3 linked regions of the Arabidopsis thaliana genome follow. The protein of the gene in region 3 binds, or shares a complex with, the protein of the main gene of each other region. Each region holds a gene or a part of one and is shown on either strand. Other genes may lie near its edges.

Region 1 (6,060 bases), on a different chromosome or scaffold from region 3:
TTAAATTACCAGAATTTTTAGCCAAAGATATATATACATTTTTTACCTACCATCATGATTTGTAGTCCATATTTGTTTAATTTTTCATTTAAAAAAAAAAGCCCAAGTCAGTGTGAAATTATTCAATTTCAGGTTTACCAAAAGATAATTGTGTCTTTTTTTATTATTATTACAAATTTCCTTGTATTTTTGTGAGAGTTTATCTCACACTTGATGTGTTTTTTTTTTTTTTGCAGGAGAAGATTAACTGGTAGGTAAAACCACACGTTGGAAACTTTTGAAATTCTTTTTGGGCTTGTTTTTGAGTTTGTATAGTTTTTGGATCTTAGTTCGAAATAAACACATCAAGCTCATCCTAAATGTTCGTTTTTCAATGTCTTAATATTAGTAGGATGACAAAAACAAAAAACAACTATTTTTGAATTTGCTAATTTGTTTACACAAAAAATATAGTGTAATATTGACCCATCAAATAATACACGAAACAAAAACAACTACTTCTGAATTTGCTAATTTGTTTTCAATGAAACTAATTTAAACATCTTTCCTTCAATTTTTGTCAAAATGTCTTTCCCTTAACTTATTGATTTTAATCATAAGAAATATGGAGTAAACAAAAACAAAAATCAATCTTGGTGGCATGATGCACTACAAGTTATGTACAAAGTGTCTTTTTTTTACTCTTGCTCAGTCTTACATTTAAGTTAAAAGAGGTATTTGAGTAGAGCACGCATATAGAAATAGAAAGAAAGAGAAGAAGAAAAAAAGGGTTACGTTTTCTAAATAATTTCTTAGACGAATAAGAAAAAAAAAAAAAAAGGAATAAGTGGGGATTATTCTTGAAGAGGTCCGGTTTAGTATTCAGAGGACTCGGAGCTGAGCAAGAAAAGCAGCACACAGATCCAAGAACAAGAACTGAGGACCTTGTACTCTCTGCAAATCCAGTAGATACTTGTCGTCCCGAGTTTTATACAACTGTTTCACCATCAACAATAACAAACGTCATCAAGCCCAGAAAATATTGATTGATAGTTAGATTCATGAAGATTCACTCTAGTTCTAATTCAGTTACAAAAATGGCCATGGACACTAATACACAAAGCTTTCTTTCACTCGAAATCACACATCAGAAACAATGTCGTACGGGAAACCGATATGTATCATGAAGTGGAGAAGAGGATTTACCTGAATTTCAAACTTGACAACATTGGGCGACTTAACAGCTGCTTCGTTCTCTATTATGCTGGACTCGTCTCCAAAGTAGTTGTTATCGTGCATCGAGTTACTGAGCATACCATCTGCGCTGCTGTTAGGAACCCATCTGCACTTCATGTTGTAGTGCCCTATCTTCTTCCAACATACATTCAAATCTTGCAGGGCTTTCAGGACTTCCGTCATTATTTCACGGGGATGAGCCCGAGACTGTGCGATCAAATTGTTACAATATTAATCACATATATATCAAAAGCTGAAGTCTTTATACCATAAATACAGAAAATATCAAAACCTGAAGTCCAAGAGCCCATTTTCTCTCAACAGGGTATTGAGATCTCAAGCCAACTCCTTGATATTCCATCAGTCCTGGAAGCCGATGGCTAACAGGTGAAGCAACGCTTTCTGCTGGATGCATACGGGGAGTACCTTCCTGATTAAATCAAACAATGAAGCATTACGTCAAAGATCTTTTGCTAAAGTCGAAAAGGACAAAAAAGACTAACCATGGTCTCTTGAAACTCAGCCCCGAGATAACCACTAGAGGCACGGAAACGATTGTCCAGTATCAGATAGTACGTCACAGTGCCCTGGAAGACAGTCGGTAAGAATACAGTATTTAAGATCTTTTGATGGAATTTTTTTTAATCTTTGAAATGAAAGAAACAGCAAAAGAACAAGTGGGTGGGAAACACATACATCATTCTGGGTTCGGTTGCGGAGCGATTCGATGAGGTGGTTTCTGTCAAATCCCATATTGATAACTTCTTGGAGAATCTCCTCGTCAATCTACAAATGAAGACAGCGCTTTTACGCCTTTATCGAAAAATGGGAATAGAGATTTCTCTAATGAAAATAAGAGTAGATACGTTAGGCTTACCTTTTTTGCCTGTTGCACAGTATCTGGAGGAGGAACAGCTAAATACCTCGGAAGATGAGCTTGGAACCAAGGGTGTTGCCGGATCTCAGGGATGGTTACTCGTTTCATGGGGTCAACTACAAGCATCCGGGGGATCAAATCTCTAGCACCAGGAGATAAATGGCTAGGTAATGTGTATATCCCTCCCTATAGGACGAAAAGAGAAAAAAAAAAGGTTACAGTCGAAGGGTGATACGAAAAATAAAATAAAAAATTCAAGCATTAGTTCAAATAGACGAAAGAGGAGGAGTAATAGAATGTACCTTTATCTTCTTAAAAAGGTTGGGAATGTTTTCATCATCAAATGGAAGCGTCCCACAGAGAAGAGCGTAGAGTATCACACCACAGCTCCAGACATCTACTTCAGGGCCAGCATATAACTTGCCCGAAATTACCTGAAACAATTTATAGATCTCGACTATAACCTATCATTTGAAACAAGCCTAATTATAGTATTCCTCAGATACCTGAGGGCTGAAGCACTTACCTCTGGAGCGGCATAATTTGGACTTCCACAACTTGTCTTCAAAAAATGACCATCTCGCATTATGTTGCTCAGGCCAAAATCAGCAATCTTTACATTGCATTTAGAGTCCAAAAGCAAGTTTTCAGGCTTGAGGTCTCTGTGAACCACCATGTTTCGATGGCAGTATTCCACTCCTGATATTATCTACATCAAAGCCAAGTAGCTAATTCTTAACTCTCAAATATAATATAAAATCGAATGGTTGCTTGGAAAGTTACATGTTGATAAAATAAAATAAAAACATACCTGCTGAAAAAAGTTCCTCGCCTCATCCTCCTGCAATCTACCCTTCTCAACAATATAGTCAAATAGCTCACCAGAGTTCACATACTCCATGACAAGATAAATATCTGTGGGAGTCTCTATAACCTCATAGAGACGGATGATGTGAGGATGCATAAATAGTCTCAAGATTTTGATCTCTCTCCTCACTGCATCAAAGACCAAATAAGTTCAAAGGAAGGAAGACGAAAAAGAAGCTATATATTTATATATTCCAAGAGTACCGTGAAGTCACAACTAAGGTGGAATGGATACACAAAACAAAACTTGTACCTTTCTCCTCCATCTCCATGTTCTTGATTTTGCGACGATTGAGGATCTTGATAGCAACCTTATGTCCTGTCAATGCATGCTCAGCTATCTTCACCCTACCAAAGGAACCAATACCAAGAGTTCTCCCAAGCTTGTAATTTGGTAGAATCGATTCTACCCCACTTCTACTGCCTGTGCCTGATCCATCCATTCTCTACAAAAAAAGAGAGAGAGATATTAGATCTACTAGTACACAACACACAAAACAAACTGCAAAAGAGTAATAGGAACAAAAAGCAAGTAATTTTTACACTTTTGAAGATTCTGTGATCGATCGTTGAAGAAACTAAATTAAACTCATCTACTCGTTTGAACATGAGAATTTAGCGAGAATTAGGATCCCTTTTATTATCCAGAATAAACCAACCAACACTAAGAAGAGAGCTTAAAATAGCAATTTTCAGACTATCCCCAATTCGGAATATGAACCCTAATAATAATTCAATCGCAGAGGATTACTGGATCTCTCGTACCCGATTCAGAAATGACGATTTCAAGATCAATCCATTGATTTGCAAAAGGGCGAGAATTTTTTTTATTTCCGAAATAAGAAAATTGAGAGATATCGAAACTTACCAAAAATTAAAAAAGGCGGAGGAGAAAATTCGGAACCAAAAAATGCAGCAAAAAAAAGTCCCAAAATTTTCTGAGCTGAAAAAGTAAAATTGAGGAAGATCCAGAGATCAGCTTAAACCCAGAAATTATTGATAGATTCTTCCTCTCGCTTTCATTGCTCTCGCTCCTGTAGCCTATAAGGCGCAAGCAAGTATCAAAGACGAAATTATTTGATTTTTGGTTCCATAAACGGATCAATCTTTAACTAAATTACCCCCAGAGTTACGACTAATTACAATATATACCCCCATGCGGACGTGGCATCTAGTCATCATCTTTTTGCTAAATATTCTCTGTGGTAAAATTATTAACCACCGTTTTGTTTTGGCATCTTTCAAAAAGTTTGTACCGTCTTAAACCGGTTTAGAGAGATACATTGACATAAACTTTTTTTCTTTTTTACACAAGCCAAGTGTAAGCAAATGTACAAGACAAAAACCGCTTGATTCTCGGTTAAGACCCAATGTACAAGACAACCGGTTTAGTGTGTTCTTTCATGGATTGCACCAGGTATAGTAAACCAACAGCTTCAACATAAGCAAACTTCAATAGCTCAAGTAAAAAGGTGATCTCAAGGTGAGATATCTCTCGAGTCCTGTGATGCCGAAAGTGCAGGATCTCGGTAAGCAACAACGAGTTCCGAATAGAATTCAGACATGTTTTGCTCTCTCTCGTCTGCTTTATCTTTGTTTACCAGACACTGCAAAAGTAAAACATCCATCATCACCATATAAAGGTTTAGAGTAGATGCTGTAATGTAATAAAGGACTATGCATCATGTTCTGTTTGTTTTGTTTAGGTTAGGAATAAAAGATTATCTAGCCATATTTTTCTTCCATTGGATCAAAAATATGAGTAACTATTTCTCTAAAGCCTTTACCTGGGTAGGATAAGATTTGAAATTTGGTAAAAACCGTCTTTGGCAGTAAATGCTGAAAAGGACCGTGAGAACCGGAAGGGGAATTGTTAAAGAAGATGCCACTGGAAGCTCTTTAAGCCCGAATAATCCGACTGCAATAATGTGCATTAGTACCAAAGAGAAGATAGTATAGCTGTGAACTATTGGCCAAAACTTTCCACCAGTTTCATACTTGGCCGCATATACGTTTAGGAGCTGCAGCACAAAAAGGTGATGTTATTTCTATCAACAAGTTGCAATGGATTCATTAAGAAGAAAAAGAATTATGTGACGAGAAAATGGATTCTTGATGTAACGTTTATGTCATGACTGAAGCTCCAAAAAATACTTTCGGTTTAAAGATGCTATTCGAGAATTTAGAAAAGGGATCACATATAAAGAGAAGATAAAAGTGAGATTCCATATAACGAAAATATGTGTAGCTGATTCCTATATGATTTTATCAGAGATCAACAGAGAATTATACTTAGGAGTGAGATTGGTTCCGTTACCTGGTTGCGGTAGATGATATATCCAAGACAATAGTAGACCAACAAGAAAGGCAGTATCAATGGCGAAAGGAAGAAGTAAGTTATACCGAGGAGTCCAAAAAATAGAATCCTTGGGATTTCTTGGCAGAAAGGAGTTGAAGGAACCTCAAATTCTTTGTCATCTTCCTTGCCGAAAAGTTTCGTTATGAAACTCCAAAGAAGAGGAACCAAACGGAGGATCTCTGATGATAAACCAGTCCATCCAGAGGTCACAACATAAGATACAAAGAACGATGCCTACACCAAAGATTAAACAATAAACATGACTCGTGGTACGAAAAGGGAATTCCGGAAACCTCAATACTGAATTTTGTGTTCTTTACCTGTGCTGGCACAGCTGCAGCAAGCACACGAGGAATAGTCTTAGGTTCAAGGAACACATTAACACGATAAAGGGCAGATCCGGACAGTACATTTGCAAAGAAACTGTTCCATACAGTAAAGATTAGAAGCTTGATACATGCAGATTTCTCAATCTGGCTATGAGAAATGAATCCTTGCATTGAGGAAAGTAGAAGCATAATGGGTGGTACTATAAGAAGGAAAAGCTGGAAAATGAGACTCGGAAGATATCCCGTAATCACTTGACTCACGATTTTCCTGCAATCATAAGAAAAAAAAGAAGATTTTGTAATTGTTCAATTGAAACGAAGAACCATCTTTATCTAAATAGGGCTTTACTTACATATTTAATATTCCTTTTAGAAAAGGGAACCAAGTCTCCAACTGGTGAAGATTAGCAAGA
Region 2 (5,585 bases), on a different chromosome or scaffold from region 3:
CAAAGTAAACAATATTAATAAAACAAATATCTACATATACATTCTATATAACATATTTTATTAAAAACCTAGCCCCGCGGTATACCGCGGGTCAAAATCTAGTATATCCTAAAAATTCACCGAAATCTCTCCAAATCAATTGTTTTTCTAAATTCCACCAAACCCTCCTAAATCTTTAATTGAATACATATATCTCTTTGTGTGTGTAAATTTATATGTATATACATAGAATGTTTGGTTTTGTTTAGACTTTAATTGATAAGTGTTAGTTGAGAACCTGATTGTTGATAACTGCAACACATTATTCAGGTCTCTTCTGTTGAAAATTTTATGGCAATAATCCTTTTCTTGTGGCAATAATCCTTTTCTTAGCGATTCAGGAGGACACGAGGCACACTGATATTTTTTTTGATTACATATACAGATTTGTTCAAATTTAATGTATTGTTTTAGTCTTTTTCTGTTGTCCATTTATTTTCTAGCATACACCTCCACTTTGAAGTTATATTTGTCTTTTTTTGGTAAAAAAAACTAATTTAGTTTAAAAGAAAAAAAAACAGACTTAATAAATAATCCAAATAAATTGTTTCAATCATATACCAAATAAAGTAATGTTTATTTGTTTACTTGTTTACCATCTCCATGGTGTTGTCTATTTCCTAACGATTATCATTGATTTTTTATCTTTTACTTTAAAAATAAAAAGTTAGACAAATCTTGACGAATTTTTTACATACATGAATTTTTTTTGGCAAACCCGATAAAATGGTTCATAGTGATAATAGAACTGAACTGAACATAAATTGAAAAAAAAAAAATCAGCTAATCTATGGGTCTGTGGCAGTTCTAATGACTCTTTCAACAAGATCTAGCCATATTTTAGTGTATGTGAAAGGGCATGCAAAGAAGATATAGTCTTAGGCTTTTCTCGTTTCCCACAAAAATACACTATTTTGAACATTTCATCGCGGTTTTGAATAGTAATTTTAGTTTTAGTTATATAATAACTTATAAAAAAATATTTATAATACAAAAAAATCTTTTTAAATGTATAATCTAATTTTTATGGAAATGTAAAAAGGGTGTTACACTTTTTTCAGTACGTATTAAAAATTTATCTCTCATCACAAAAATCTAAATCACAATATTTAAAAGTATTAACTAGTAAATCTACTTCAAATTAAAGATTATTATTACTATTTAAATATCTCACCAATAAAAACTCATTGATTTTTTCTAATTTCTTACAAAACATTCTCCGTTGGAAATTTTCTTTATATATGTATATTCTAAATTAAAATAAGAAAGAAATATTCATTGTATGGTTAGTCAAAGTACCCACTCACATTAATGGCAACTTGTATATCAGGAAAGATATTTCTGTCTTCAAAATGTTGAATAATTAGATTCTAAAAACTGTATAAAATATTAAAATCTAACCATTTTACTAATATATTTTATATTTTTGTCATAATTAGGTAATTACTATTAAGTTAAAACAGAAACTGATCTACTTCTTAACATGGTTGTGTGTAAATTAATTTATTGTTTAATATGATTCATGAAAAAAGTGTGATACCATTAGTCAACAGTGTGACTCAGATTTACCTCAGCAAAGGAGAGTAAAAACAAAGGAAAGATGATAATATATGTGCCCATAGACTCTTTTCTTGTACTTTTCCTCAATTTTCTAGTGGTGCAATTTTTCGTGTGCATGCTCATATAATTTGTATCATGGGTTCCATTTTTTTCTTGCATCAACCATACTCTATAAGATTATGTTAAGAGTCTTCTACGTCTAAATCATTTTTCCAAAAAAAATTCTGTTCAATTTGAAGGTTTTTGTTAGAAACAAAATCTATGAATTTTATGAAAATTTACTGATTTTTATCGGTTTAGACAATCAGTCAAACCACAAATTTCTTCCTTCAACTAGGGGACCTATTCATATAGTGAACGAAATGAATTTTGCTAAAATATGATTTTGATTTGGGGCGTATCACCTTTTGGTGGATTTTCTAGTTAGATTCACCATCAATTATTTTTTATTGTTCATTTTATAGGTAGTTTTTTTCTCATAATCCGTCCATTTTATTGATATTTTACCTTGATATATATTTTTGTTATAGAGGTTTAATTATATATTTCTTTTTTATATTTCAGGTTTTATTATCTATAGTAATTAAAATGGATGGATCATCGGAAAAAACTACCAATAAATTAGTATCGATTCTACCAAATTATAGGATTGGTAAGACTCTTGGACATGGATCCTTTGCGAAAGTGAAATTAGCACTGCATGTAGCTACTGGTCACAAAGTTGCTATCAAAATTCTTAATCGCTCTAAGATTAAGAACATGGGTATTGAGATCAAAGGTATGTATTATTTACTTCAATTTTGTTACTCTTTTTTCATTTGTACAAAAGATTAGAGGAGGTATAACACCTCTCTAAATGTATATATAGATGTATCTTTATTTTTCTTCACGAGATCTAATAGGTCTACGAGATTTCGGCAACCACCATGATCAATAATTTTTGGTTTTGATAATATAATTACAAGTTTATTTGGTATGGATTGTATTTTAATACTGAGAAATCAGAAAAATATTTTTATTTTAAAATCTGTTTTTTTCTACGAAAATACTTTATCCGAATCTTAGGTCTCGAAGCCGAAAGACTGTTCATTAATATAGGTCACTGTTATGATTTGTTTTTTTTTTTGGACTACTTTATGTGGCAAAAAAATATTACGCTTTATGTCTTATATAATCGTTGTTATTTATTAGTAATCTTAATAAATGAAATTGTTTAAGTCTCTTGTAGTACAAAGGGAGATCAAAATTCTCAGATTTTTGATGCATCCTCATATCATCCGTCAATATGAAGTTATAGAGACGCCAAATGACATTTATGTTGTGATGGAATATGTTAAGTCTGGAGAACTATTTGACTATATTGTAGAGAAAGGTAAATTACAGGAAGACGAGGCTCGTCATCTTTTTCAGCAGGTTTGGTATATATATAGTATTTATCCAAACATTTTGTATTTCATAAAACCTTATATCCTTTTCGATTGGCAACACTTTTATTTAAACCATATATTCTCAGATCATATCTGGTGTAGAGTATTGTCATCGCAATATGATCGTTCATAGAGATCTTAAGCCCGAGAATGTGCTTTTGGATTCGCAATGCAACATAAAGATTGTTGACTTTGGATTGAGTAATGTCATGCATGATGGTCATTTTTTAAAGACTAGTTGTGGAAGCCCTAATTATGCTGCTCCAGAGGTATAAGAGATTAACATATTCTTCATTTTTATTTCATGAATTTGGATATATATTTGAAGTATCAATTACTCACACCTGAAACTTATTTATATAGGTTATTTCAGGAAAACCATATGGACCAGATGTAGATATATGGAGTTGTGGGGTGATATTATATGCTCTGTTGTGTGGTACTCTTCCTTTCGATGACGAAAATATTCCTAATGTATTCGAGAAAATAAAGGTATTAATAAACAACGATCTTTTTATAAAAATCATATATATTACACATGGTTATGAATTTTTTCTCTATTTCTTTAGAGAGGAATGTATACTCTTCCAAATCATTTATCACATTTTGCTAGAGATTTGATACCGAGAATGCTTATGGTTGATCCTACTATGAGAATTAGCATTACTGAGATTCGTCAACATCCTTGGTTCAATAATCATCTTCCTCTTTATCTTTCTATTCCTCCATTAGATACCATAGACCAAGCTAAAAAGGTTAGAATTTGTTTTCATTAAATTGTACCAAAATAACATCATTTTTATGAATTCAGTTAATTTTGTATCAATTTTACTCTTTCTAGATTGAGGAGGAGATAATTCAAAACGTGGTTAACATAGGGTTTGATAGAAACCATGTTGTTGATTCTCTTGCCAATAGAATCCAAAACGAGGTATGAGTGTTTTCATATTTCATATAATAATCCTATTATACTCAAAATAGTTTTATAAATGATACTCAAGTTAAATTTCGTTACTTTAGGCTACAGTTGCATACCATCTAATCCTAGACAACCGAAACCAAAATTCTGTTCCCAATGACCCTTTCCAATCCAAGTTTAAAGAGATTTCGGTACTTACTCTCTTTCTCTACAACCTGAATTTAAGAAAAATAAATAAACATTACTTCTCTATATAATTATATTTTCGTTTTAATCCTACAAATATAGGATGGTATATTTAATTCGACGTTACCAGTTCAAAATATTACTTCACATGTTGGCCATTCATTTTCGGCATTGTATGGACTAAAATCCAATGTCAAAGATGACAAAACATGGACCCTTGGACTTCAGGTTAGTCCATGCATGGTTAATGTTTAATCCATTGTTGTTCATGTTACTTTAGCATTCAATTTCGTCTCATGTTTTCTTAATTTTCTTTCTATTCAAAACAGTTTATCAATATATATATCAAAATAATTGTTTGGAATTTTGACAGTCTCAAGGGAGTCCTTATGATATCATGACTGAAATTTTTAAAGCTCTTCAAAATCTAAAAATATGCTGGAAAAAAATCGGACTCTACAATATAAAATGTAGATGGGTCCGAAGCTTTGCTTACTATAAGAATCATACAATTGAGGATGAATGTGCCATCATCTTACCGACCGTCATCAAATTTGAAATTCAGGTATATTTATCCAATTTAAGATATTATACTATAATTTAATAGTCCATAAATAACAATTTTTTTTGTTTTGATGCGAATATAAAATTATCAACAATTTACATTGTTAAAATCTATTTAGAGCAATTTCTTAAATGCAAACCTAATTTGTATCATTTTGGTTGTTGTTATAGCTATACAAAGTACGCGAAGGCAAATATTTGCTGGACATCCTAAGAATTGATGGACCTCAGTTTATCTTCTTTGATCTATGTGTTGCGTTTCTCAGAGAGCTAGGTGTCCTCTAAAGCTCAACCATCACTGGTGTTTTAGATGATTATTGCGGTTAGCTAGGTCCTCTAAAGCTCATTTCATCAATGTTTTTTCGATGATTATTGCTTCAATGTTTTAAATTCAATTATGTTTTCTATGTTTCTGTATTTATGGATTAAGTAATCCTTGACAATAAACAAAAAAAAAAAGAAGATAGATTGTATTTTTTTTTGCATTAAGTTTTGGAAAATGCATGTACTTTTTACACTTTCTCGATTTATGATGCCAATTTTGTTTGAAAAACACACAGTACATGCATTTTCATAGATTTTTTTATATTTCTAAAATATAATTTAATGAAACCACATTTGATCAATTAACTCTGTTTAGCAAAGTGATTGATCACAGATCAAGTTGAATATATATTTACCTTCTAAGAGATTACAAATCGGTGATTGATCAAACTAAAGACCAAAGATACACAACCAACTCTCATGGAGCTTCACGAGAAACTCCTCAGTCAGACACACAATTTATTTCTCCTCATCTCTTAGAATTCTCATATTGTCTATCCAATTTCGTTTAGTGTGTCTGACTCAAAAACACTCGAGTATCGTCAAAAGTAACGTCAGCAGTATTA
Region 3 (4,433 bases):
TTTACTATAGTGAGATTTTTAAGATACTTTTATACTTTATTATATTGGGTTTCTAAATCAATTTTACATCGGAAAAAAGAGTAGAATAAGATCTGCGGGACGAAAGATCTTGTGAAGAATGTGCTTATGTAGCACACTGATGGGAATATTAAATATTATCTTGGCTCCTTATTACCAAAATTCCGACTTGGTTCATCCTCATATTTCCCGCATGTTTTGCCATTCAATGAAGAATATAGAATCTATGGTCCCTCCTTTAAAAACAATTCCATTGGCAAGTATCTATAGACTATAAATATGCAGTTTGGGTTGTCGCTAAGGTCAGTTGAGTAAGAGAAGAAGCATTTGCAAAAGAGACATAACATGTAAAGTCAAATGTCCCCTTGAGTTCCCTTAAACGCTTCATTGTTCATACTTTGTTATCATCTATCGATCGATCAATCAATCTGATGAACACTGAAGTGTTTGGGGGGACTCTAGGTGACATCTTGGCACCCACAGGCTATATTAATTATCGAGCGGTGTAGTCAACGGTTGAGGTGAGTTATGAGCCTTTTCATGAAGAAGATAAGTAATGTGGTTGGTTATTGATCTATCATTCATGAGTGAGTCATTTCATTTGTTAGTTATACAATTTGTTTCAAGCTGATTAAACTCTTAGTTTGGCTTCCCTGTAAGTTGAACTTAATCAGCTGCATTGAATTGGCGAGACTTACACAAACACAAATATGAAATTGAACAATCCATAAAACAGAAAATTTTTTATCCAATCATTACAGTACATATATATTTTCAATCCTAAGATGTCGTTAATGATAGAACTTTAAAACTCAAAATGGTTGGTTACAAATTAGATATAAAGACAACAACTTCAGAAATCTAAACCAAGAAAGAACAAACAACAAAGCCAAAAAAAAGCTGAGAAACAAGAGATCATCGGTTAAGCATTTCCTTAACCGAGAAACCGAGACAGTTCTCAAAGTAATTTGGAGGTTCTGATACGAAACAAGAGATCACATCCCTCAGTGTTATAACCCCATAAAGCTCATTCTCATCTCCAGCCGCTACATAAACCCGATGCACCGACCTCGAAGCCAAACTGTTTATAACACTCCCTAAAGTCGAATCAGGCCTACAAGTTATTGCAGGAATCGCTAAACCGTATTCCTCTCCCGCTGTAGCAATCTTTGTCGCGAAACTCTTCACCGTGAGTTGTCTTTATCATCAACAAAGAGATCATTCAGTCATCATTGTTACCAGAGAAGTTGTAATGAGAAACAAGTGAGTAAAAATAAACCTGAAATTGGAAAAGACTTCAGGTTGTAAAAGCAAATATCTAATGTCTCTCATGCTAATGTTACCAACAATCTTCTTATTCAACCCTTCAACTACAGGGAGACCACCAATGTTGTTGTCTCTCATCCTTTTAAATGCTTCAAGGATAAGTTCCTCACTCTCAATGCTAATAACCTGAAACCAACATGTTCAATTTCACCGGTTTACGAGCCTAATGTCATGACTTCTTAAAGTTTATTTTATTACCTCATTGGGTGACATAAACGGGAGGCCGAGATCAGAAATCGGGAGAGCGGAAATGTGATCAAACCAATCTCTACCTTTGCAACCTTCAAGACCATGAACAACTGCAGATTGAGTAACGTAGTTCTTGATATCCGGTTCTCCTGTTTTAATAACCGGCACATTTCTTAACCGATATTTCGAGAGTAACAACATAACACTCAACATCGAACTCTCTGTTGAAACCGGAAGAAAAGGAGCCCATCTAAACGACTTAAGTATTGTTCTAACCTGACAACATAAACATATATCCATGATCAATCAGGACCATCACAACACAAATAACTTAATGTTCTGTTAAAAAACTTACAGTGGTTGATTTAAAAGGCTCTTCTTGAAGAATAACTTCATAGAAATCTTTCCCCAACTTATCAGCAGCAGTTGGAGCATCTTTTCCAATCCCACGTTCAGCTGCAACACCACCAGCAACCGCGGCTCCAACCGCAGCTGCGGCTAGCCCCGCAGCAGCAACCGGACCGGTCATCCCGAGCGCTGCAACACCAAGAGCTCCAACAGCTCCAGCACCAACACCAGCAGCAGTTGCTGACGTAGCGGACAACGCGATTGCAGCGAGTTCAGCACTCTCTAGCACCCATAAGATGATTGAAGAGTAGTCAATGATTCCTAAATATCTTTCTCTCCAATCTAAAGAACTCTCGTGATCTGTGTTAATCACAGGAGCTGATAGAATCTTGCTATCTGATAAGATCTTTACTGCTTCTGATACAGGTGTTTCCGCTTGAATCTCTATCACTACGATCAAACAAAACACTAATTGAATCTAAACCATTGCCAAGTCTCAAACTTTAAACGAGAAATCAGGAAATTTGGAGGAATCGAAAAAAATGGGATCTTTCTAATTTTTACCTCTGCCGCCGGGGACTTGAGGGAAGGAGGAGACTGGGATTCCGGCGAAAGCAGAGTTTAGGGTTTCTTGAAGAGATTTGGGTAGATTCTTCCTTGATTGTACTTTCTCGAAATACGCTTCACAGCTTGAAACCGCCGATTTTATCTCCTTATCTTCTACCGCTTCACTTCCCGCCATGTCTTGATACCGGCTCAATTTGAAGAATTTCAAACAAATCTACGATGATTTTAGATTGGAAACGATGAAACCCAGAAGAAAAAAAGAGAGCTTTTTTGGTTAAGGAAAAAAAAAAGAGAGAATTTAGAACAGTGGTGAGTGTGGTCGGATAAGCAACGTGTCGGAGATGGACCTTTGGTTTCGCTTTTCTGGCGGTTACGCGCGTCCTGATGAAGTGCATTGACACGTGACGTTATAATAAGTGGTCGTGTGTCAAAAGAGTTTAACAGCGTTATAACCGGAGTCGCTGACGTGGATGGGCCGAATTCTAAGATAGAAAACGGTAGTAACGGGCCTGAGCCCAAGATTGATTTAAAAGTAATATCTGATGGATCATAGTTTCATACGTTTTCTTTCTTTTGGTCATTTTGTTTTCTTTCCTTTTTAAGAATCGACCATCTAAACATTTAGGTGGCTCAAACAATTCAGACATCTTCATTTCGGTCAAATTCATCACAAATTTATATTTGATAATTGAGGGAAGTAAAATAATCAATTCTTTTATGTAAATAATTTTAATGGTGACTACAATTTTGACCATCAAATTAGTAAATGTCTGTAGCAAAAAATAATAATAATCAAATTAGTAAACAATACGTATGTGATTTCAAATAATAATACGTTGTGTTGATAATTTGTCAAATAACCCACTATTTTATGTGATGCTAACTAAAGTTTATTTTGTAAAAATCAAACAATTTTGCAAAAGTGAAAGAGGGAGATTTTGTCAATCTGCATGAAAACCACCTTCCATTTTAGATATCATTGTGTCATCATAGTCATACTTACTTAATTCACCAACAAAAAAAATTAACATTGTATTTAAAATTTTTATAAGCATAAAAAAATATTTGGTGTATCAAATTTGTGTAGACCATTAATTTACAAAACCTTCATATACATATATAATCCATGATATGATAGGTAATCCACTAATTTAAACATTTGGATATCTACAAGTATATAAGCATTTTGCATATCATGCCAAAACCAGATCTCTCTTTCAGAGGCTGAAAAACAAATGAATGACAAAGAAAACGGAAATCAGTTACTTTCTAGACTTGTGTCTAGCTATACCGATACAGTTACTGGCTTATTGCTGTCCGGAAAGTCTCGTTCGATAACGGGCCAATAATGAATCTGTACTCAACGGAGCTTGTGTTCGCAAGCCACTAAAGTTCAAGGTGTGGTCATGCGATGATGGAGGTGGAGGATCTGGAGAGGAAAAGTTGAGACTGAAAGAGGAGGACGATAGAGGGTAGTCGTCTGGTAACTGATTGGGATAGTTTGGTCGTGTGAGGTCCAATGTTACAGTCGGGTGCGAGTTAGTGGTGGAGATAGAGAAGTGGTGAAAAGGGAAGAAATAGCTTAGACTCGCTGAGGTGGAGGAGGAGGAAGAGGAGGAGCCAGATTGTAATAAGGAGGCAGCCGCGGAAGTTCCAGCTGCCATGTGGCTTGCTTCCATGGGGAGAGGATGGTCATGGTTTCCTTCGTACGTTGTCATAAAAGCGGAGGTTTCTTCTTCTCCACATCTTTGCACCTATAGACATTCGTTTTAAAAGTTTTTACTCAAAACCAATTGTTAATAAACAGATATTTGGATTGAGAAATTATAGAATGTATTATACCTGTTTTCTAACGGGACAATTTGACGACATGGAGCAACGGTAATAGGCTCGTGGGAGAGGATTGGTTTTCGCAGTCTTTTGACCATATTTCCTCCACTGGCAACCGTCGTTTATCTATATATATTCATGTAACGTGTATATGA

The links. The genes of interacting proteins can lie anywhere in the genome.
Region 1: AT1G69800 (region 3) and KIN10 share a complex: the UniProt entries of both Arabidopsis thaliana proteins name them as parts of the probable heterotrimeric complex.
Region 2: AT1G69800 (region 3) and SnRK1.3 share a complex: the UniProt entries of both Arabidopsis thaliana proteins name them as parts of the probable heterotrimeric complex.

What each region holds. Positions count from the first base shown.
Region 1 is NC_003074.8:30,576-36,635, forward strand, and holds KIN10 (SNF1 kinase homolog 10), read right to left. Parts: upstream 3,913-6,060; 5' UTR 3,569-3,912; coding exon 3,503-3,568; intron 3,406-3,502; coding exon 3,213-3,405; intron 3,089-3,212; coding exon 2,904-3,088; intron 2,802-2,903; coding exon 2,619-2,801; intron 2,527-2,618; coding exon 2,395-2,526; intron 2,279-2,394; coding exon 2,093-2,278; intron 2,002-2,092; coding exon 1,912-2,001; intron 1,803-1,911; coding exon 1,719-1,802; intron 1,646-1,718; coding exon 1,508-1,645; intron 1,423-1,507; coding exon 1,186-1,422; intron 976-1,185; coding exon 862-975; 3' UTR 606-861; downstream 1-605. Other genes in the region: AT3G01085 (Protein kinase superfamily protein), read left to right, coding at 237-247; HYP1 (hypothetical protein 1), read right to left, coding at 4,438-4,566, 4,747-4,980, 5,277-5,552, 5,639-5,915, 6,001-6,060. UniProt on the Arabidopsis thaliana protein: Catalytic subunit of the probable trimeric SNF1-related protein kinase (SnRK) complex, a central regulator of cellular energy homeostasis, which, in response to seemingly unrelated darkness, sugar and stress conditions, activates energy-producing pathways and inhibits energy-consuming processes.
Region 2 is NC_003076.8:15,779,720-15,785,304, forward strand, and holds SnRK1.3 (SNF1-related protein kinase 1.3), read left to right. Parts: upstream 1-2,187; coding exon 2,188-2,377; intron 2,378-2,827; coding exon 2,828-3,012; intron 3,013-3,112; coding exon 3,113-3,295; intron 3,296-3,389; coding exon 3,390-3,518; intron 3,519-3,595; coding exon 3,596-3,781; intron 3,782-3,867; coding exon 3,868-3,957; intron 3,958-4,046; coding exon 4,047-4,136; intron 4,137-4,233; coding exon 4,234-4,359; intron 4,360-4,504; coding exon 4,505-4,696; intron 4,697-4,866; coding exon 4,867-4,980; downstream 4,981-5,585. UniProt on the Arabidopsis thaliana protein: Catalytic subunit of the probable trimeric SNF1-related protein kinase (SnRK) complex, a central regulator of cellular energy homeostasis, which, in response to seemingly unrelated darkness, sugar and stress conditions, activates energy-producing pathways and inhibits energy-consuming processes.
Region 3 is NC_003070.9:26,273,483-26,277,915, forward strand, and holds AT1G69800 (Cystathionine beta-synthase (CBS) protein), read right to left. Parts: upstream 2,848-4,433; 5' UTR 2,844-2,847; coding exon 2,796-2,843; exon of another isoform or gene 2,663-2,795; coding exon 2,446-2,662; intron 2,332-2,445; coding exon 1,889-2,331; intron 1,810-1,888; coding exon 1,543-1,809; intron 1,471-1,542; coding exon 1,298-1,470; coding exon of another isoform or gene 1,237-1,297; exon of another isoform or gene 1,217-1,236; coding exon 934-1,216; 3' UTR 748-933; downstream 1-747. Other genes in the region: WRKY36 (WRKY DNA-binding protein 36), read right to left, coding at 3,756-4,202, 4,291-4,404. UniProt on the Arabidopsis thaliana protein: Regulatory subunit of the probable trimeric SNF1-related protein kinase (SnRK) complex, which may play a role in a signal transduction cascade regulating gene expression and carbohydrate metabolism in higher plants.